Caenorhabditis elegans: one gene and its partner. The protein of the gene in region 1 interacts with the protein of each later gene in a pairwise test. Each region holds a gene or a part of one and is shown in the gene's direction. Other genes may lie near its edges. The genes, in order: sdz-38 and rga-1.

Evidence for each region.
Region 2: the proteins of sdz-38 (region 1) and rga-1 interact in a two-hybrid assay, tested with the Caenorhabditis elegans proteins (one large-scale study listed by BioGRID).

The regions. Positions count from the first base shown.
Region 1 is NC_003280.10:9,979,698-9,984,895, reverse strand, and holds sdz-38 (C2H2-type domain-containing protein), read left to right. Parts: upstream 1-3,035; 5' UTR 3,036-3,100; intron 3,101-3,145; 5' UTR 3,146-3,148; coding exon 3,149-3,488; intron 3,489-3,615; coding exon 3,616-3,884; 3' UTR 3,885-4,010; downstream 4,011-5,198. Other genes in the region: ZK892.6 (uncharacterized protein), read left to right, coding at 4,820-4,906, 4,956-5,137, 5,183-5,198.
Region 2 is NC_003280.10:11,462,050-11,469,665, forward strand, and holds rga-1 (Rho GTPase-activating protein 68F), read left to right. Parts: upstream 1-2,844; 5' UTR 2,845-2,847; coding exon 2,848-2,971; intron 2,972-3,027; coding exon 3,028-3,181; intron 3,182-3,243; coding exon 3,244-3,337; intron 3,338-3,395; coding exon 3,396-3,502; intron 3,503-3,555; coding exon 3,556-3,714; intron 3,715-3,776; coding exon 3,777-3,896; exon of another isoform or gene 3,897-3,946; coding exon of another isoform or gene 3,947-4,000; intron 4,001-4,044; coding exon of another isoform or gene 4,045-4,536; intron 4,537-4,581; coding exon of another isoform or gene 4,582-4,926; intron 4,927-4,975; coding exon of another isoform or gene 4,976-5,475; intron 5,476-5,531; coding exon of another isoform or gene 5,532-5,556; exon of another isoform or gene 5,557-5,576; intron 5,577-5,759; coding exon 5,760-5,908; intron 5,909-5,970; coding exon 5,971-6,123; intron 6,124-6,182; coding exon 6,183-6,457; 3' UTR 6,458-6,604; downstream 6,605-7,616. Other genes in the region: aars-1 (Alanine--tRNA ligase, mitochondrial), read right to left, coding at 1-17, 349-730, 788-1,504, 1,558-1,848, 1,895-1,972; klp-17 (Kinesin motor domain-containing protein), read right to left, coding at 3,947-4,000, 4,045-4,536, 4,582-4,926, 4,976-5,475, 5,532-5,556; cisd-1 (CDGSH iron-sulfur domain-containing protein 2 homologue), read right to left, coding at 6,689-6,916, 6,972-7,060, 7,456-7,543.

The DNA.
Region 1 (5,198 bases):
GGCGGCGGGAATTGGAAATGATGAGATTTAGGTGTTTCCGGTGACATTCGGTGTGCTTTTGGAGATTTAGGGTTAGAGATTCTGATCATTGATAAGTAAAAAAGGAATTCCATTTTTCCATTTTTCCATTTTTGAAATGTCTAGACGAATGGAGTATCTTGATGGATCTCGCCACAAAAAAAGACTACCGTATTTTCACTCGAGCACCCTTGTTTGCAATAATAAAAAATATTTGAAAGCTTATATCTCGGTTCTCTTTGGCTTTATCAAAAATATGTCCACTGACAGTACGTGTGCAAAATATTTGTTGTATTTTGGTTGTTTAAGGTTTTTTGAGAAAAGTTAAGACAACTGAGATTTAGACCAGGGCTGTTGCAAAAAAAAATTTTCGACCAAAAAACAAAAAACAAAAAATTTTTTGGTCGAACTTTGGACCAAAAAACAAAAAACAAAAAATCGAATTTTTCAAAAATACCAAAAAAAAACAAAAAAACAAAAAAACAAAAAACAAAAAAACAATTCAATGTTTGATTTTGAACGGGACAAAACGGAATTTTTCATAAAATATTAAAAATTGAACGAACAGAAGGTTTTTTGTTTAATTTTTTGCGGAATCAGTGCTGTAATTGATTTTTTGGTTTTTTTGGTTTTTTTGGCGTCAAAAAACCAAAAAAACCAAAAAATCAATTTTTCCCAAAAATACCAAAAAAATCAAAAAAACAAAAAACCAAAAAAAACAAAAAAAAAACAGCCCTGATTTAGACCATCAAAGTGGGGGGGGGGGCCTACTGGTAGAAATATGGTATATTAGCCTCCCATTTATAATGTATTTTTAACAAGAAATAATTTAAACATCAAAAGTAAAAAGAGCTACTTGTTGGCGTTTCGAGGTGAGACCCATTCAAATATATCTGTGCGTCTTTTAGTGTGAGTTTCAAAAACTAGGAAATTACGATATGACTGGATTTATAGGTTTGAAATTTTTTTTAAAAACTTTTTTTAAGACGTGAAGCACGCTTTGAAAACTGAAAGCTAACTGAAAACCTATACCTCCCAGTGTGAAAATTTATGTAAACCGAGAACGTGAGAAGCTGAAAAACAACTGGTAGCCCGGCTAACGCTTGTGGAACTCGAATTGCTAGCGGGTATACGAGAGGAAAAAAACGAAAAAGGATGAAAACGAGACGGTGTGTTGTTGTTGTTTTTGACACCGAATGTAGATAGTGGTTGAGTGAGTGAGTGGGAGAGAATCACGATAAAGAAATTTTAAAGAGAATAAAAAGAACGGGAGGTAGAGAGCATTAACAAAACAACAATAACAACTATCGAAATACAAGCGGCGTAATGGGAAAAAAACTGAAAATTAGTAGTCTTCGGTTGGGAGAGGATGTCGGGGGATAGGGAAAGATTGCGTGTTCCGGTTTTGGATGCAGAAAAAAAAACGAAAAATACGGAGCTATGAAAAAATAGCAACCAAAAACCAATTTAATTGACAGTCTCTTCAAAATTTTGAGATTTCATATTTTCATGTTTAGTCGTGAACTCATTCCCAATTGGAATTTAAATACAGAGTTTGTCTTTTGCTTTAATATGTAGAAAATGTAAACATTTTCACTGTGTAATAAAATTCATAATATTTTCAAACGATTATACCTACTGAAACAAAATTGAAAAAGCTGAATTAATTTTGGAATTCCGTTGCATTTGAATTTCCTAACTTGTTTCCGATTTAAAAGCTGCTAAAAGTTTAAACTTTTTTTAAATTTTTTCAAAATATGTTAGATACAAATTTCTTCTGGCTATCAATTTTTTTACAGACGAAAATATCTGAAAATTGGTAAATATTCGTTTCGAATCTTATTTTAGCGAAAAAATCAAGGCAGTCTGATGAATTATTTTAATTGAAATCATTGAAAGTTTTTAAATAATTTAAAATTTTTTTTCAGCTTTCAAGGTAAAGGCTATTGACACCTACAGTACACCAAAGTGATACTGAAACCAGAAAAAAAGACTTTAGAAGTTGTTGAGGTGCTTTCAGTTTTGGTTTCCTCTAATCTCACCAATAAAATCTTCCATCTCCTCCTATTTCTCTCATTTTACGATTTTGTTTGTCCTTCTTCTCTCTCTTTGGTTCCTTCCCATTTTGGTACTAGATACTTGAACAAGACAACGTAGAAAAAGAAGAAGAAGAAGAAGCACTCCACACAAATTAGATCCGCTTCTGTTGGTGTGAAGAAAATGTTGAAGAATAGGAAGAAGAACATGATTTTAATTTCAATGTAAATGGGTGTTGCCTTCCGTTTGCCCACGGAACAAACGGAGTAATTAAATTTTTTATTCAAATGAACAATTTACACATAATCGTCAAAGACGGATTTTCTTGAAAAAGGTCAACTAGATGGAAAAGTCTAGTTCGACAAGTTTCCAAAATTTCCCAAAAATCCCGATGTTAATAAAATTGCATATTGTGACTGATGATGTGGTGTTGAAATTCCTTTCCGAGGTGCTTTTTTCATAGGACCATTATAGTTGAGAATCGAAAAAAATAGAGAAATTCATCGAAAAATGGTGTAGCAATTGAAAAATTATACCAAACATTGGAATATTTCAATTAGAAAAGGTTTTTCATTTAGAAAAGGTAAAAGGAAATTTGGTTTTTAAATTCTGAAAGAACACAAAATTTGCAACAAAATGGCTGCAGGGATTTTTGAAAAAGCTAGTTTGAAGCCAGATATGAATTTTTAAAAATTGGGAAATCTATTAATTTTGCATATAAATGGTCGATTTTATTCAATCTCAATTTGTGCACTAAACGGTATGACTGAAAATTCACTTTTTCTGCTTGAACTCAGCGGATAGCAGACCACTGTTTATTGATTGGATGTTTATAGAGTCCAACCGCAATTTGATACATGAACGCAGTACTTGGTCGGGTGTAAACCTGGTGGAACGCCAGGTTGTCGATGGACTCCGCCTAGTTACCCATCATGACACGTTGTGTATGTAACGAAGACCACACATTCATTCACCACATTTTCCTCTAACCCAGTGTGCTCTTCATTCGGTCTGTATCGAAAGATTGTGTGTTTTCTTTAAAAATGTATATTTTTTCACGACTATTCTTCCTAAATCTCTTTTTTTTCAGAAAATGCCTCCATATTTTTCGCCTAAATCTGAAGCACCAATCTGCGGTTACTGTCAACTTACATTCAGTCAAACGGGCTCAATGACTCGCCATAGGGACAGACTTCACACCAAGAATCACACGTGTCTCATCTGCGTCTCAAACTGTGAAGGTGCTCCGATTCTGGGAGAAAGTATAAAGAAGCACTTGCAACATGCTCATGGATATGTAGATGTACAGTCGTGTAGTTGTTGCCATTGGATTTTTGAGAACAAAATTCAACTGAGAACTCATTTGGACGCAATGAAAGCAACTGGGCAGCCAGGAGACGAGGTGGTACTAGCCAAGGGTACATTTGCACCAGGTTAGTTGAAGCTTTAAAGTAGGCACAAGGATGCCTGGTAAAAAATAGAAAGACGATAGGCAGTTATGAAGACTTGAGTATTAATATCAAATTTATTCACTCTTAAATCTTAGTAAATTATTTTCAGGAACACTATCACAAGCAGCTATTCTCCAATCCAAAGCCTACTCTGCCAATCGACAGCAAAAATGTCAGCAATCACTGAAAGTTGACTCTGGAGGATTCAATGATTTATCGGAAACACAACTCAAATTCATTTTGGACAACTACTCACAGATTGTTGGAGAACTGGAATCTCCCAATCCTAAAATCAGTGGATGCAGAAAGCGAAAATGTGGAATGACAATCCAGCATGTCCTTCGAGACGACGATTTCAAGAAAATCGAATTGTGCTAGAATTTCATTTTATCATCATTTTAATAATTTTTTTGTGATCTATATTTAATTTTTTCTTTGAACAGTTTTTTTTTTAAATGTCGAACAGCGATATATTTTTAATCTCAATAAATTTTTCTTAAAAAATCGTTTTCCACTCTAAATCTTATCAGAATGATGTGCGCTTAATTCCCAAAGTGCATTTATTTTTAGATCCTGTGGAAAATATTTTTAAAAAATGATGTCCTGAACACAGAGACCCTTGATATCAGATTCTCGGGTCATTTTTCTAGTTTTGCTTCGAATTAACTTGTGATTTGAAATGTACAAATACAAATATTGTAACTAGAAATTATTTTAATTGGTTTTTTTTTTGAGAAATGAACAAAAATATTATCGAAAAAATACGATAGCAAATTTTTTAAAATTTATTTTTGATCTACCTTGTTGACTAGACTCCTCCCCTTCCTTCGACGACTCTAAAAATAATCATATTTTCCATCGATTTTTGCGTGTTTTGAAGATCTAGAAGAGTACATGCTCCCACGAGGGTCGTCTCTTTCTCATTGTGTCTGCGCACTCCATCGATTCATCTCTGTGCAGCTGCGCAACTGTTTGATCTACTTGCAATGCGGGAATTTCTGGACACAGATTTCTCATGTGATTTCGAAAGGTTAAGAGCGTGTTTTTTCCTTTTTTTTTGTCAGTTTCCACTGCCCAGAAATGCCTCGCCACAATTTTCCGTTATTGTGTGTCTGTAAGCACCGATAAAGGATGACATTTTTAATTCTATTTAATAGTTAAGAAACATAATTTACTCTAGGGAGAGCATAGTGAAAGTAACATATCAAATTTAAAAAAACAATAATCCAAAAAAGAAATTCAGAAACCATTGTTTTTAGGTCTACTATCTGATGGAGTCTTTTTCAAAGCATGTGGTTAGCCACGCTCCGATCATGTACGACTACACTTGCGAAGGCAGAACACCACGTCCCAACTTTGGTCTGTACAAGCCTCTGAAAAAGGGAAATTTTCCAAAAACCGTATGTTAAATAAAAACGAAATGATAACTTGATAAAATGAATATTACAGAATGACGGTATGCAACACGATTTGGTCAATGATGTCTTGGGAGGAAAATCGAGCAAATATTGCCCATTCATTCTACCTGCCGGAATTGCTAATGATGGGACTTTCTACCTGAAGCTGGATTCAAAGTTTTGGAACGACAGCTATTGGCAGCTAAAATATCTGGTTAACCAGTCGGACTTAATGTTAGTTAACTATCAAAAAGCCACATGTAATATCTTAATTTTCAGAGAAGAAATTGGATGC
Region 2 (7,616 bases), 1.5 Mb from region 1:
TTTGACTTGAGGGAATTCTGAAATAAAAACTATTAATATAAGGTTTAAATTTAAAAATAGTATACTATTGCTAGAAATAATCGTAATTAATTTCAACATTTTATGAAGGTGATTTTTCGTTTTTTCGAAAGAAAGTGAGCGAAAAACAGACTGAAAAATCCATTAATTTTAATTTTTTCAAAAAATAAATGCACCCGAAATAATGAAAAATAAATTCTACTATAATTTTTTTTTCGAAATTATAATTTTTTTTCGGCAATTCAATTTCGATTTTCCGGTATTATTTTTGATTTTTCGAAGCTTTAACCGAGAATTTCCGCATTTTTTTAGACTTTTGCTCCAACTGACCATATTTTCCATTTCTAAACACGTACGAATATTTTTCTTTGTCTGAATGGCTCGGAAAATCGTCTGCTGAAATCGGCAATTTAAACTGCGAAGCTTTTTGTGACACTTTTTGAGCTTCCAACCGGCACCTCTCGAATTCCGTTTCATCGACTTCTCTTCCAATATTTCTTGCCAATTCCACAGTAACCGCCAATGGTAAACCATGAGTTTCGAATAAATTGAACGCTTTTCTTCCTGATATTATTGGTGATTTGGATTCAGCTGCAACACTATCAAACATCTTTTTAGCTTTGTCAACTGTCTTCCAGAATTGAGCTTCTTCATCGTTGAAGATCTTTCTGATGTGAGTGGATGTGTCGTGGATTTCTGGATAGACTTCTTTCTGAAAAATTATGAATTTAATTTCATGCGAAAAATGTTTGAGAAGCTTTAAGCTTACCATCGTTGAAGCAACAACTGGAACCAGCTCACTCATCGCGTATCTCTCAATTCCTAGTTTCGAAATTCCTTGCAAAAAAGCTCGTCGCATCATTTTTCTAACAATAAATCCACACCCAGTTCCATCAGGTACAGCTCCATCGCTGATCGCCACAGTCGCAGCACGAATGTGATCAGCGACGAGACGGAATGTGGCATCTTGTCGACTATCCAGACTTCCAGTGTATTGCTTTTTTGCCAGCTCGGAGGTCTTTTCTAGAATCGGTGTGAACACGTCAGTGTCAAAATTTGAAGTTTTGTTCTGGACAACTGATAGAAGACGTTCGAATCCCATTCCTGTGTCAATGTGGTTTTTTCCCAAATGTCGAATTTGACCACATGAATCTCTGACGCTGCTCATGAAGACAATATTCCAAATTTCTACAACTGAATCATCAATATTCACTAATCGAGAAGCATCTCTTCCGCCGATTCTATCATAATGAATCTCGGTGCAAGGACCACACGGACCAGCTGCACCCATCTCCCAAAAATTCTCAGCGACAAATGGAAGAATTCGATTTGACGATACTCCAATTCGTTTCCAAATTTCTCGACATTCACGGTCTTCCGGTAATCCGAGCTTCTCGATTCCACCGAAATAGGAAACATACAATCTATCTGCATTGATTCCTAGAATTTCCACCAAATATTCCCATGCATATCGACATGCTTCCTCCTGAAAGCAAATAAAATATTAGATATTCAGAGAGAAATGCGTCGTTAAACAACTTTTGAGAATGCATCATTGAACGACCAATTGCCCATCATTTCAAAAAATGTTTGATGATGTAAATCTTTTCCAACGTCATCGAGATCGTTATGTTTTCCTCCGGCTCTAATGCATTTTTGAATATTTGCAACTCTTCTAGATTCGGTTGATGATAGAATTAATGGCTTGAACTGATTCATTCCAGCATTTGTAAATAACAAGGTTCCATCGTTTTCGTCTGGAATTACAGATGAAGATCTGAGTATTTCGTGATTTTTCGATTTGAAAAATTCGTAGAAACTCTTGCGAAGCTGAAATAAACTATTAAAATGTTATTTCAACCGATTTAAAACTTACTTCCGAATGTGAATGATAGAATCCAAGTGAAATTGATTTCTGAATATTATTTTCCAATATTTTGGAGCCAATTCCCATCGCATTCCGGTTGAATACACGTTGAAAACGTTTTCAAAACGAAATAATTATTTAAGAGAAAATGTGCCGTAAATCTACACTGGCCTAGAACATGTTAGGCCATGGCCTAGAAAAGAAGCTGTTTTTTTTTGTTTTATTTTGTTTTAATTAAAAATTTAATTGTTTAATTCTCAAATATTTTTGATTCAATAGTAAACTGGTAATCCCCGTCGACCGTTTGCTGAATAAACACAAAATCCTCTCATTGAAATGACATTTTTGGCGAGCGCCGCGACCACTGGACACTATATTTGCGCTGTGTCGTGACCCCATATCAATTTCATTCATTCTCGCTCACAAAACAGCTGGCTAGACACAATAAATTCAACGAGAAAATATTCAGTGCTGATGGCAATCTGGGCTTTCTCTAAATCAATCCAAAAGAAAAAACGTCATCTTCCCTTGATACGAATCTCATAAAAACCGGCGCTGCTGTCAAATGGCGCGGCGGAGTGTTTCCTTCCTCTCCACTCTCTCTTTCTCTTTTTCAACATAAAAGCCGTTTGGTACATACTGCACTGTTCGTCCATTTCTTCCTCAATCTCCCTCGGTCTCTCCCCTCATAACCGTACCCTCTCTTCCGGTGTGTGTGTGTGTGTCTGCGTCTTGTTTTCCCTCACATCTCTCACCCAACACTTCTCACCTCACGCTGCAATCCATCTGACACATGTTTTCAAACATATTGATTGGTCATTATATATGCCTACTTATTATATGATATTTATTATACGAATCATTTTCTTAGAAACTTAAAATATTTCCAAATTCTCAAGTGTGTGTAGTCAATTACCTTGCCCCTGTCTTAATGAAAATTTCACTGTTAAGATTTTCAGCAAATGGACACGAAACATCCTCCGGATCCATCAGGTCCATCAGATCCCAACATAAATCTTGGAGAATTCGAAGATCCGGTGGATGGCTATGCCGATGATGACCTTCTCACACCGGATGACCTAAGCGGTAAGTGGAATAATAATTATTGATATTTAATTTAATAGAAAACTGGTTTATTTCAGTAAGTGTCACTGGAATGACGCCATCTCGATCGTTTCTGGAAACTGAAGAATTCGAGACAGAGCTTGGAGGTGTTGAACCGTTCGAAGATCTTTTCAACGACATATCAGCTCACGAAATTATTCAAGTAATTGCTGATGGGGATCGAGTTGGAAGGTAAATTAATTTGAATCCAAAAATTAATTATCTTTTTTGTTTTAATGAATCATAGTTTGCAGGCCAATTGTTGTCGTATATGCTTATCGGCTCCCATCAAGCAAGGAAATAGATCATGCCAGACTTCTACAGTATTTGGTACAAATTATTGATAAGGTTGGGAATTTTTAATAAATATAATATTTTGATAAAAATAAAATTTGCAATTTTCCAGATCGTTGACCAAGACTACACAATTGTCTATTTTCACTATGGCCTACGAAGTCACAACAAACCACCGGTACGGTGGCTGTTCCAGGCTTACAAACAACTTGATCGTAGGTAAGTATTTGAATTCAATTCATCTCTTCTCTTTCAAAAAAACCGGTTTCCAGATTCAAAAAGAACCTGAAAGCGCTCTACGTAGTGCATCCAACACGATTCATCCGCATTATCTTCTCGCTGTTCAAAGGTTTCATATCGAGCAAGTTTGAGAACAAGTTCCACTATGTCATGTGTATAGACGAGCTGGAGAACGCACTTTCAGTGGCAAGGTTCGTTTTTTCTTTTCTTATTTTTTAATTTTTTAAATTGTTATAAAAAAGATTATTTTCAGATTAAATCTTCCAAGTCCAATTCGAGATCATGATAAATCATTTTCAACTCAATCAAATCGACCTGAAACACCACCAGCTCAACCTCTGCCAACACAACAGTTTGGAGTTCCTCTCGAGTTGTAAGTCTTTATTCAATACAGTTCAAAAATGTCTAAAAACTAAAAAGAGTTCATAGTTTTTGTCCTGTTTGAACAACTGCTTTTCCCAAATTTGTTGAACGAAGCTGAAATTTAAAAGATATGTCAGAAAAAAAATATGCACAAATACCTCGGAAGTGAATTCCAATGTCCGTTTGGTTTCGGCAACATCACGAGGATTCGCATGAGCAATGAACATTGTTTTCGACGATCCTGCACCCAAATACTCGCGAAGCACCATTGTGAGCTTACTGTCACGATATGGAACATGCGACATCTTCGTCATTTGAGCTCGGATGCATTTTTTCAAAGTGCTCAAGCTCTGGTTGATGTTTGTGAGCTCGGTGAACTGCTTCCCACGAGCTTGCGTCTCCTTCGCCCGTTCGGAACCAGCCAAGTCCACCAAGTTGAGACAGCATTGAACCATCTCACCAGAGGCGTTTTGCCCATCAACGAAGATTTGGAAAATTGCATGAGATCTAGATGAATGCTCATTAGATGCTGTTGAAGCTACGGATCTTTGCGAATCGGCAAGATTCAGAATCACATCAACGTCGGAGATGTTTCCTATTTCGATTTTCTTCAGTCCAACTACATTCGTCTTCGATCCATTTATCTTTACCTGCAAAATATTGAAAATACAGATAATAAGATGAGATTATCTAACCTCCAACTTCTGCTTCCCATCCAACAAATCATAGACTTCTTCGTTATAAACTTCAATGAAGGATGCTTGGAATTTGTAGTTCCAACCAATCATCGCAAGATCTCTCTTTGATTGCTCCAGCATAAATCGAATAGCACGTGGAATGACTCCTTCCGAATCAGCACTATCTTCTCCTCGCATCGTGAAAGTCTTTCCACTTCCAGTTGGTCCGTAGGCGATGAGACACACATTTTTTCCATGAAGCGCACACATGATCAACTCCTTGATCTCACCGAAAACTCCGGATTGGGCGGTCGGAGGAAAGAAGACGTGCTCGAAACTGTAGGTGTTGGATTGGCCGGTGGTCTGAAAATATGTGCTTTAAACTTGAAGTATTAAAATCAAAAATTCGTACCTGCTGGAGTTGAACCTCATTTTGTGAGATGATGCTAAAGTTGGAAGATCCATCTCTCTCAAAATCTCTAACACGGATTGCCACGCGAATTTGGCCACGAAGATCAACAACTTCATCGTTGAGTTCACGAATGATGGCGTCCTTTTCAGCCATTTGGGTTTTAAAACAGTTGATAAGCTTCAGCTTTTCACGTTTCAAAGTTCGATTCTCCTGAATCAGCCTGTCATTTTCCATGTCTTTCTCCTTATTGTCATCTTCCAACTGCCGAAGTTTCAACTTAAGATCCGCCAATTCATTTCTCAAAGTCTTCACTTTTTGATCTTCAACTCTGGATACATCAGCGCAAGATGCTGACGGGAAAAGTGCCGATTCACGTCGTAGCACCTTATTCTGATTCTTTGCTTTATGCAATTGATTCTCGAGTTTTGGAATTGTGGCGGTTTTTCTCTCCAATTGCGCGATTTGATGTTTTAAATCATTAGTATGATTGTTATAAAAGTCTGAAATTATTATATATATATATAAACTAAAAATATTAAAAAATATAACAACTCACCATTTTTTATACGAACACCGTCCATTTGATTCGAACACCGACCAGTGAAAGATTCGGAAATAAATTCTAAATTCTAAACTCTAAGAAAATTCTTTTTTTTTTATTTAGAATTTTTTTTTTCCAATAAATTTCCCACGTTTTCCCAGAAATGTCATTCAAACGTGATTTTTATAAACTAAATTAATTAAATAAATAAATTAATTAATATTAAGATAAACAAATTTTCAGCATCCTGTCTCACTGTGGTGGAAACATCCCTCCAATCGTTGACCAGCTCATCGAGTATCTGGAAGCTCACGCGTTGACAATGGAAGGAGTTTTCAGGAAAAGTGCTAATATTGGAAGTATAAAGAGGCTACAGGATAGAATTAATAAAGGTATTTAATAGGCTAGGAAATTGAATTTTGATTTTGATTTTAATTTTAAATATTTGTTTCAGGCGAAAAAATTGATTTCGAAAATGATCCAGAGTACAAGGACAACGAATACGTGGCTTCCCTGCATGCTTCTGTACTTTTGAAGACGTTCTTCAGGAGCCTCGGAGAGCCCCTAACGACCAATAGGCTTTATCCGAAACTTGCGGCTCTTTCAGGTGAGAAAATATTTAAAGTCAATTGAAAACAGTGTTTATTTAATATCTGAATCTTTCAGAAGTATCGAAAACCGAGAAAAGCGCCGCCGTGAAAGAATTTGTGAAGCTTCTGCCTCGTGAAAACTACATTCTTCTGAAAACAGTCATCAAATTCCTAACTCGAGTCGCCGAAAACAGCAAAGTGAATCTGATGACTGCAAACAATTTGAGTGTCGTTTTCGGTCCAAATTTGACGTGGCCAACGGATCAAGAAGTGCCGATTTCTCAATTGAATAACCTCAATAACTTCTGCTATAAATTAATTGTGGATTATGATTCAGTATTTGATCATTGATCATTAGGGTGTTCAGCTTTTGCATTTTCCCCCGTTTTTCTGTACTTTTTTGCCTTACTGTAATTTATTTATTGCATCCATATTAAATAAAATTCAAAACACTTGTCATTTATACTAAAAATTAATTCACTGTATCCGTACTAAATCATATAAAACCGATGGTTTTCGACGATCACAAGAACATTTAGAAGTCAATAGATAATGAAGATCAATGATTTGTCGAGACGACGTTTACTTCTTTTCGGATTTGACGATGAGTGGGCCAACATTGTCGCCAGTCTCCTTGTTGTGCTTTCCATGTGATCCGTCACAGTATGGCCACTTCTCGCTCTTCCAGCATCTGCAGAATGCCTTCTTCTCTCCAATATCCTCAATATCGACGGTGTCGACGATCTTATTCGAGTCGAGCTGGATCTTGTAGTTGCAGCGAGCCGAACGCTGTCCGAACTTGTAACCAACCTGAAATTAATTAGTGAAATTGAAGAGGCTACATCAGGGGAAGGCTTGAACTTACAAGGTATCCAATAAGAGCTCCTCCCGCGAGAACGGCGGCAGTCGTGGCGACACAGCGACCAGAGACTTGAGTTGGGCAAGGCATGGTACCTGGAAAATTTAATTTAACAAAAAAAATTTAAGGAATAAGATTCAAGCGAAAAAAAATATATACGATTTATCATAAGGTAGATGCAAAATTTGGCGATTTTCGCATAAAAGTACAGTATCGGGTCTCGAAACGACCGCTTTGCTTTATTGGGAAAGAGTATGCGTCTTTAAGGAGTACTGTATCAATTTTCATAACTTTTTCAGAAGTGCTATCTTTTAAAATTTATGAGAGAATTCGCGAGTTGACAACTACAGTACTCTTTAAAGGCGCACACTCTTTCTATTGGAAAACCAGTCGCTTTGAGACCAGATACGTAACCTTTGACCAAAAAATCGGAAAATTGTGAATCTGTGTAATAAGAGGCAGTTCAATCAACAAATTATGCCAAAATTACCAAGCTCTGCAACAGAACAATGCTGTGGCGTTGTCCAACAACAGTGATCTTGAATGAGAGATAAAGCACAAAATCCAGCGATGGTCATTTTTCGAAGAAAATTGTAAAATATGTAGAAATAAATTTAAAAACCTTTTTTCGTAATCTATCGATTGATCTTT